2 linked regions of the Callithrix jacchus genome follow. Each later gene encodes a partner of the first gene's protein in a complex. Links are inferred from orthologs where the notes say so. Each region holds a gene or a part of one and is shown in the gene's direction. Other genes may lie near its edges.

What was found. The genes of interacting proteins can lie anywhere in the genome.
Region 2: POLR1H (region 1) and POLR1F share a complex: the UniProt entries of both Homo sapiens proteins name them as parts of the RNA polymerase I (Pol I) complex. The link is inferred for Callithrix jacchus from reciprocal best matches to the Homo sapiens genes POLR1H and POLR1F.

What each region holds. Positions count from the first base shown.
Region 1 is NC_133505.1:34,798,380-34,802,773, forward strand, and holds the start of POLR1H (DNA-directed RNA polymerase I subunit RPA12), read left to right. Parts: upstream 1-1,539; 5' UTR 1,540-1,582; coding exon 1,583-1,653; exon of another isoform or gene 1,654-1,819; coding exon 1,820-1,974; exon of another isoform or gene 1,975-2,052; intron 2,053-2,211; coding exon 2,212-2,312; intron 2,313-2,518; coding exon 2,519-2,628; intron 2,629-4,394. UniProt on the Homo sapiens protein: Core component of RNA polymerase I (Pol I), a DNA-dependent RNA polymerase which synthesizes ribosomal RNA precursors using the four ribonucleoside triphosphates as substrates. Can mediate Pol I proofreading of the nascent RNA transcript.
Region 2 is NC_133512.1:38,561,207-38,565,589, forward strand, and holds the start of POLR1F (DNA-directed RNA polymerase I subunit RPA43), read left to right. Parts: upstream 1-1,546; 5' UTR 1,547-1,567; coding exon 1,568-1,821; intron 1,822-4,383. UniProt on the Homo sapiens protein: Component of RNA polymerase I (Pol I), a DNA-dependent RNA polymerase which synthesizes ribosomal RNA precursors using the four ribonucleoside triphosphates as substrates.

The sequences.
Region 1 (4,394 bases):
AGTTTTAACCCTTTCGCTATGGTGTTCTCTCCATTACAGAGAAAGGCAGATGGGAGCCTCTTCCAACGAAAGACTACAGCTTCTGTCCTTCACAAGAGAAAATAGTGATGGCTTAATTATTCACAAGTGATCTTAGTTATTTATAGGTGATCTTAATTCTTTTACTAATGCCTCTCAGGTCTCAGGCCGGAAAGTGAGAACCTGGGGTGACATTGTGAGGGCAATGACCCTAAAGCAAGACGCTTTACAGCAGCTATGCCTGCATAAGGGCGACTAGGGCCGCCTCTGCTGTGCTACCGCGTCAGCACTGAGAAAATGCCCGCTGTTGAGCCAGCTAGGGAAGGAGGCGTCCAAAGCTGGCTGAGACGTCTCATTCACCGGGGGAGTTAAGCGAAAACTCCACTCCTCCAATCTCTTGCCTTAGGCCTGACAGCTGTCAGGTAGACCCACAGGCATCCGGGGGCTTATTTGTCTCTATGTGATGCTGTGCTTCAGTGGTCACATTCCATGTCCACTCTCATGTCCTACTTCTGTACCAGGTTCCTATTTTCTTAGAAGAGATAATCAGTAAGAGTAATATAAACTTAATGTCTTTGTTCTTTCTTAACAAGTATGGAAAAGTGCTAACGCATTAGGCTCCTTGCCTCATCCCGGCTCCTAGAAATTCCTGGGTCCGTACCTGTATGATATGTGATGTACTTGACCCTATCACTGCTACGCCCCATCTACCTTTCCCCTGGTTGCTGACCACCAACCACCAATGCCACACCTACTTACCCTGCCCTCAGCTTTGTACTCAAAAAAAGTCAGAATGCGCAGACACGACCGGGGCCACTGCCGGACTCCGCGATCTGGCTGGCAGTGAACCCCCCCCACCCCACGCCACCCCACCCAAACTTTCTATCTCTGTGTCTTATGTCTTTTATTTCTGGTTTCTTTTCTCCACACCAACAGAGAGGGGCTCACAGAACCCTGTAGGGCTGGACCCTGTACCTCCTGACTTCACCCTCACCACTTGCGGTCCCTCAAGAATCCGACTTACCCCTTACAAGCGGCGAACTGTTCCCAAAGCACACAAGGCTAGTTGCGCTCTGCTGAAAGCCCACGTTCTCCAGCGGGACCCAAGGAACACTAAAACTGTACGTCCCAGAACACTTAGCTTTCTTTTTAACTACTCTGCAGCCGCAAAAGGGAAAAACCTGCTCAGGATCAGGGATAGTTGTAGTTCTCTAATCCAAAGAAATCAGTATTCAGCAAAATACAGTTTTCAGGGGGATATCTCCCGGGACTCGGTTCCTGTAGGATGTGAGACAAAGAATAAATATCCGAGGATTGGGTACTGGTGGGAAAATTTGCTGGAAGCGCAGCATTGGCTACGAATTTTGTGCTCAACGTCTCAGCACTAGGGTGAAAGTGAAGCCGCAAACTCCCTTCGGAGAGGTTAGGCTCCATCTCTAAGGCTCCCGAGACAAGGTTCGCAATTATTTATGACGTCACAACCAATTGTCAGCCCGAATGCGTGACGCTCTAGCCGGCTCTAGCTCGCCGCTGAGCGGCGGGCGTAGAGCTGCCGCTCTAGCCCATGGAGTTGGCTCGCTCCTCTCGCCGGCCCCAGGAAAGGGTTGCAAGTCCTTTACTACCCGACGCTAGCTGGTAAGCCATTCCGGGCGTTTCAGCTCCCTGGTCACAGAGGCAGGAGGCGTGCGTGGGAGGAGAGCTCGGGTTATATACTCCCAGGTACTGGGACAGAACTGTTATGACCTCTGTGTTGGGGGGATTCCTCTCTTTTTGTTAATATAACTTCTAACTCCCTCTTCAGGCCTGACCGCATATGCGTCATGGACCTAGCCAGCACTTGCTCCAGCTTTCAGTCGGACTTGGATTTCTGTTCAGAGTGCGGCTCGGTCCTGCCTCTGCCAGGGGCTCAGGATACGGTTACCTGTACTCGCTGTGGCTTCAACATCAACGTTCGGGGTGAGAGGCTTGTACGCAGTGGTCCTGGCGGAGGGTCCAGGGTCGGAAACTTGGGGACCTCAAGATCGGCAGGGGACCCTAGAGCAGGAGATCAGGCAATTGTACATTTGGTCTCGAGATGAAAAATGAAGGAAAGGATATAGGGCTTCCTGGCCTAACCAGTCAGGGGAAAGGGGAGGTTTCCGGTGTCAGCTCCCTCTGGTTGTCTCCATAACCAGTTCTTACTTGCCTGTGCAGACTTTGAGGGGAAGGTTGTGAAGACTTCAGTTGTGTTCCACCAGCTGGGGACAGCCATGCCTGTGTCGGTGGAGGAAGGGCCTGAGTTCCAGGGACCTGTGGTAAGTTAATGAGCTCAATGACTGGCTCCATAAGGTGGGTAGGAAAGAAACGGAGGAATGATTGCAGAGATCTGGAGAGTTGTGTGCCCAAGTCCAAGAGGGAAAAGAGATGTAAAGCATCCATGTTTGAGAGGAGTGATCGCCTGATTCCTGTGGGAAGTGAGGGGATATGAACTGGCCTCCCTAACCCACCGGTTTCTTCCCAGGTTGACAGGCGCTGCTCTCGATGTGGTCATGAAGGAATGGCTTACCACACCAGACAGATGCGTTCAGCAGACGAAGGGCAAACTGTCTTCTACACCTGTACCAACTGCAAGTGGGCATCCCTTCCCCTCCCTCTGCTCAGTCTGTTTGCTAACTAAACAAATCCAGTGATTCTGTTGTTGTTGTTCTAAACCACCATTTCCTTTCGTCCCATTTCTGTGCAGTTCTGGTAATAAGAACATTTGTGGTTGGTTTTTTTTTTTTATTTTTTTTATTACACTTTTTTCTTTTTTTTTTAGTAGAGATGGGATTTCTCTGTGTTTCCCAGGCTGGTCTTGAACTCCTGAGCTCAAGCGATCCACCCACCTCAGCCTCCCAAAGGGCTGGGATTACAGGCATGAGCTACCCTGTCTGACCTACTTTTAGGATATATAAAAGGAAATGAAAAAACAAACAAACAAAAAACATAAGAAGCAGGTATTGTTTAGTGGTCGGCATCTTATACTGCAGTCTTCAACTGCAGTCAAGGTAGCTTTACATTGGAGAAAATTAGTCACGCACGATTTAGGGAACATGGGCTTTCTGAATTATTTTAAGACATCATCTTTGTCTTTGGTGTCCTTCAGTCACTACAGTATATAAAAATGTGATTTTTTAAAAATTCCGTTTGGGATTTGTTGCACTTTCTGAAACTGAGAGTGAATTTTTTTTTTTTTTAATCAGCCTTGGAAAATTATCAGCTATCATCTCATTTAATATTGCCTTTCCCCCATGTTCCCAGTCCTCACATTCTGGACCTCTAATTAGTTACAAGAAGAGAGGTGTCTCTTTTGTCCTCCATTTCTCTCACCCTCTTTTCATATTTCAATCGCTTTTCTCTTTATGCCACCTTCTGGGTAATTTCTTCAGGTCCCTCTTCCATGTCACTAATTCTGTCTTCAGTTTATTTTAAATATTATTTTTTATTATTGCTATTACTTTGAATTCTATTTACTTTTCAAATCTCCTCAATTTTTAAATAATTTTCAGTTCCTTAATCATATTTTAAATTGTTCATTCTTTATATATTTAAAATATTAATTATGGTTATTATAGTCTATGTCTCATAATTCTGATATCCATGGATTTTGTCTTCTGATGCTGCTGTCTTTTGTTTCTGCTCTCTCATGGTGCCTTTTTTCTGTTTTGTGATTTTGTCTATAAATTTGAGTTTTTTAGAACTTGAACTGTAGGAATTCTTTGAGACCTTGAGTGAGTGCTGTATTCTCAGCATTTGCATTTCTTTTCCTTGAAGCACTATCAAGCTGGAATTACTTTAAATAAATTCTTGGCTTCATGTTTTTTGGAGCAGACAGATAGTATGAATTTGAGCTGCAAATCCACGTAAGGGTTAGCTTATGGTTAGAAATTCTCAGGAGAGAGTTTTCTCTCCTGCCTACTAAGACAAATTCCCCTTCTATAGAGTTGAATTTTTTCTTTTCTTGTTCACTTTTACAAAAAAGGGCAGCTCTTTGCAGTTCCCAAATTTATGCAGGGAATCTCCTATCAGACCTTTTACATTTTGTCCCTCATTTCCTATGCTTTCAGTGACCGTCATAACAGTATTAAGGGCACCATAGTGTCACGTTTCATTGGGACTTCAGTTTTCACTGTCTGGATTTCTGGTTTTGCATAACTTTTACCAGTGTGAAGTTTGCCTTTACTTTCTCACCATCTCATCAATGGATTAAAAATATTCACAGTCAGATATATCTTTTAAGAGTATTTTTTCCTATCGCTGGTTGTCATTTTACCAAAAAAAAAAAAAAAAAAAGATTTTTTTTCCCTGACTGTGGCTTGCCTATTTATTTTCTTAACCCTCTTTAAATGAGCAGAAGT
Region 2 (4,383 bases), on another chromosome or scaffold:
CCGACTATCATCTCATGCTGAGTTTGCAGTCATTTAAGGAATATCAAAGAAAATATTTTTTGTTTGTCTTGTTTGATCCTCCTATCATCTCTCTAAGGTAGTATTATTTTTCCTATTTTACAAGTCAGAAATCAGGTTGAGAGAGGTTAGAGGCATTTTCCAGTATCTAAGAGAGAAGGGAATATGTCAGTATTCACATCACTGCTATATGTGTCTCTTGCACTTACCCAGAGTAACCCTTTTCCACTTAGGTTGTGAGTTCTTTATCACTTATTTATTAACTTATTATCAGGTTATTCATTCAGGATGCATTGATTGGGTTTTTCTTAGTTTTGGTTCTGTTTCTTTGGAGGAGGGATGAGACATGTGGGCCACTGCAGTGAACAATACAGATTATGGTACCCGCTTTAGTGACTGTAGGAATCTATTGATGGAACAGGCAAGCAAATGGGCTGTTAATATAAAATTAACGTAAAAACGAACATAGATGGTTACTTACTCCTTATAGAGAAAAAGGAATAGGGTGGTTGAAAACTCTTTGAGAAGGAACAGAATGTAAAATCTAAGCTAAAAATTCATAGATGAGTAGAAGTTACCCTTGTGAAAAATGTTATATTCCCTGATAGAAGCAACAGCTTAAGACTAAAGAAAGAGACCTGAGAGTGGATTAAGGAGCATGATAACATTAGGGCGGGGAGTCTTGCAGCTGGTCTAGATCTTGTGACAAATGAAGCTGAAGAGAGAAGCTGTGGGCTGATCACAAAATGGCCTTGTAACTTATAAACCATTTTCAGGAGTTTATGTTATCCTGGAGGGACACAACATGATCACATGTTTCAGGGAAGCTCTGGCTGCCGCAGAGTGTCCTCCCGACCATTAAGCTAGGCTTCCACAGGCAGAGTGTCCTGAAGTTTTGGCAGCAGGAGAAGAGGATAGTGTCCAAATACAATATTTATACATAAGGCAATACAGGCCTTCAGGCTGATGTGATATTTGGGGATACAAAAGAGGATCCGAGGCTGACACCTTGGCTGTGACGTGATTCCCTAATTTAGCAATTGCATAATGAGGAGAGAAGCGGAACAGGAGAGAAATAGTGGGCCCGTTTTCAGACATGTTGCATTTTAATTATCTGAGCTGTTGCTTAGGATTTCGTGTACTGCATAAAATATACTCCATAAATATTTTGAATCTTTATTGTACAGTACAAGTTTGTAAAATTGTACCAAACCACCTTACCACTGGAAATTATCAAACTGAGAACCCCCCTTTTTAAGCTACCTAGTAAATAAACCCAGTAAGTTTCAGTGGGAAAAACACACATTTGCCCGCCCTCAAAAAAGCAGTTGTTTGGCTTCGCGCATGCTCAATATGTACTTGGGGCTCTTAAACTCCTCTTCAAAGAGCGAAAAACCTGTTTCCCCCTGCTGGCCAGACTGCGTAATGCAGCGTCAAGAGGGCAAATTCCTAGGGGCGTGGTAGTTGGTGGATGACGTAAAAAGAGCGTCGGGGACAGGCGATTGCGCTTGCGTCAACGGTGCGCGCCGCGGGAACCTTGACAAGCAACATGGCTGCGGGTTGTTCAGAGGCGCCGCGGCAAAAGGCGGCTTCTGATGGGTCTCTGGTAGGGCAGGCTGGCGTCCTACCTTGCCTAGAGTTGCCGACTTATGCCACTGCTTGTGAGCTGGTGAACAATCGCTACTCATGCCTGGTGGCCGGGCCGCACCGAAGGCACATCGCTCTGTCGCCCCGCTACCTTAATAGGAAACGCACTGGCATTCGAGAGCAGCTGGATGCGGAGCTCCTGCGCTATTCTGAGAGGTACTGATCTCTTTGCCTGTTCCTTCTTTTGTGCACGGGAAGTACCAGCAGGTGGATGTGCTGATGACGTAGCAAAAAAGGGAGAAATGGTAAAGGTCGCACTGCCCCCCAGAGCTTATACCCGTGGAATTTTAGAGTCTTGATCCGTCCCTCAAGGCCAGTACCGCTCTGGTAAAGATCTATACAGGGTCCCTTTCAGATAGAGAAGAAAACTTAAAGGTGAAGTTCAGGTGTGGGCGGAGGAAGTGGAGATTCTCGCTCCAGATCCCTGATGGTAGGGTTAGGAACAGAGCAGGGGTCTGGAGACCTAGTAGGCCCGGTTCTGTATGGCATTCAACGTTTCATTTATCCCCTTCCGGATGATGTTTTCTCATTTGACAATAAAAATTTGGTTTGCAGTGCTTAAGTAGATTCTCATTCCATAGAAGATTGCACATGAAGCATTAATACAACTGTTCTATTTGTAAAACGTGAAGCACGTTTTTGTTGGATTTTGCTCTGGTAATTTCCCCAGGTTCTCTTCTTTTGGATCTGATCTGGGGATGATGAAAATGCCATTAGTTTAGTGTTGTTGTTGTTGTTGTTAAGACGATTTATGCAATCGAACTAGTAAACCTGTTGCTTTTGGGTGAGAAAAACCCAAAACGTATTCATTTATATTACAGTATTCAAAAGCAACTTGAAAACTCAGAATTACAGAAGTATGTGTGTGGAGGGGGTGCAGGCATGTGCTTTAGTATTCCTCTGGACTATACTTTGGTTCAAAAGAGAGGGTTCTAAAACTAGAGTGAATGGATTTCCTAGGAATTCATGATTGCCCTTCAGGAATTCCCATGTGAAGTTCCTTGGGTGCTGGTATCCAAAGCTTTTACCATTTTCTTAAGGGATCCTGGACCAACACACACAGGCTGATAGTCAAGCATGTCTAGAATATACAGCTTCTGCCAAGCACCAACACACAGTTCTTGTATGTTTATATTATATACTGAGAATTTGAGATATAAAAACAAACAAAAAATTAAATCCCTGTTTCAAGGAGCTATATAAGCTGTAGTAGAGATACAGATTCAAGCCAATAAATAGTGAAGTGTTAAAATTTGACAGAAATCTAATAAGGTAAGGAGTGTTGAATTTGGATCTTGGGACCTTTGAGAACAACTTGACAGAAAAGGGTACTTTCACATGATAGTATTCCAGACAAAGAGAGTGGCATAAACAAACGGATACTGGATGTGAACTGGTATGCTATGCCTAGGGAGCTGTATCTATTATATAAGCAGAATAAGGTGTATGTCAGGGGAAAGGCATTGGAAGTCACTGGAGAGAAGGGCAGGGGGTCAAAAATGACTCAGAGTATGGCTATTTTGCTTTTCCCTTCCTGCCATTGCCAGTTTTTGGTTTTAGGGGTGAAAAGTATGGTTGTTTTTCCTTTTGTGTTTCTGTTTTCTTAGGCAGGGTTAGTGCTTCATCCTCTCAATACCCTTTAACTCTGAGACCTCACACACTTTTGAGAAAGTAGCACATGTTTGTAGTCCTGGCATATCAGATTTGCACTTTAAGAAACAGCACTTGGTAGCCTTAATGGTTAGCTACCAAATAGGATGAGAATGTGGACAAGGAGATGAATTAAGATAATATTATAATTGTCTAAGAGAAAATGGTTAGAGGGGATGGTTTTTAGATTTAAGATTATACAAAGTGGTCATAACATCTGGAAACACAAGCAACTATTTTGTTTTCTGTCATCAGTATTGCCTGCACTTGACAGGCTAGGGGAAAGTCACCCAGAGTGGCTCTGAACAGATCTGGATACCATTCCTTCCACATTACTTGAGTATGCTGAAGACTCCTATTTATTCAGGTGCAAATCAGGCACCACACTTTGAACTATGCTTTGCTAATAAGGGACAAAACATTGAATATATATTACCAAAGAACTAAAATGAGGCTACCACCTTGCCCTGATACCCATTTAGAAAAACAAAAGTGAAGGAGGAAAAAGTTTATAGTGTTGGGTGCCTGTGTTCACATATCTGATGACTTTTAATAAAATCTCCCCTGAATTTATATATTGCTGAATTCCTGATAATTTTAATATATATTAAAACTATGCAAAAATGACTTTGTGTTTACGACTTTTAAGAGTCAAATTATGTGCCTAGCTATTTGTAAACAGATTTGTCCCTTTATTCAAAAGTCAGAGCTATTAATATTTCCTCATTGTACAGGATGGTCCTGTACATGGCAGACTCTTTTCTTTCCTGGATTCGACAAGGTTTGTGATAACCATGAATAGTATCACAAATTTCCAAATGGCCCACTCTTCCGTGCCCCACAGGGGACCACAGTCCTCCTTCCACTTGAGAATCACTCTCTGATAGTTGAGAGATTTGATTAGGGGAAATAAAGTCTTAATTTTTGTTTTTCTCTCTAATATGGCAGTTACTTTTTCTTCCTATTCTCTAACTCTGTTTTCTGTGTCCCTAACATTTTCTTAGTGATAGGATGATTCCATCTTAGGAATGCCACATGCAGAAATTAAAACCTCAGAAGATTGCTTTC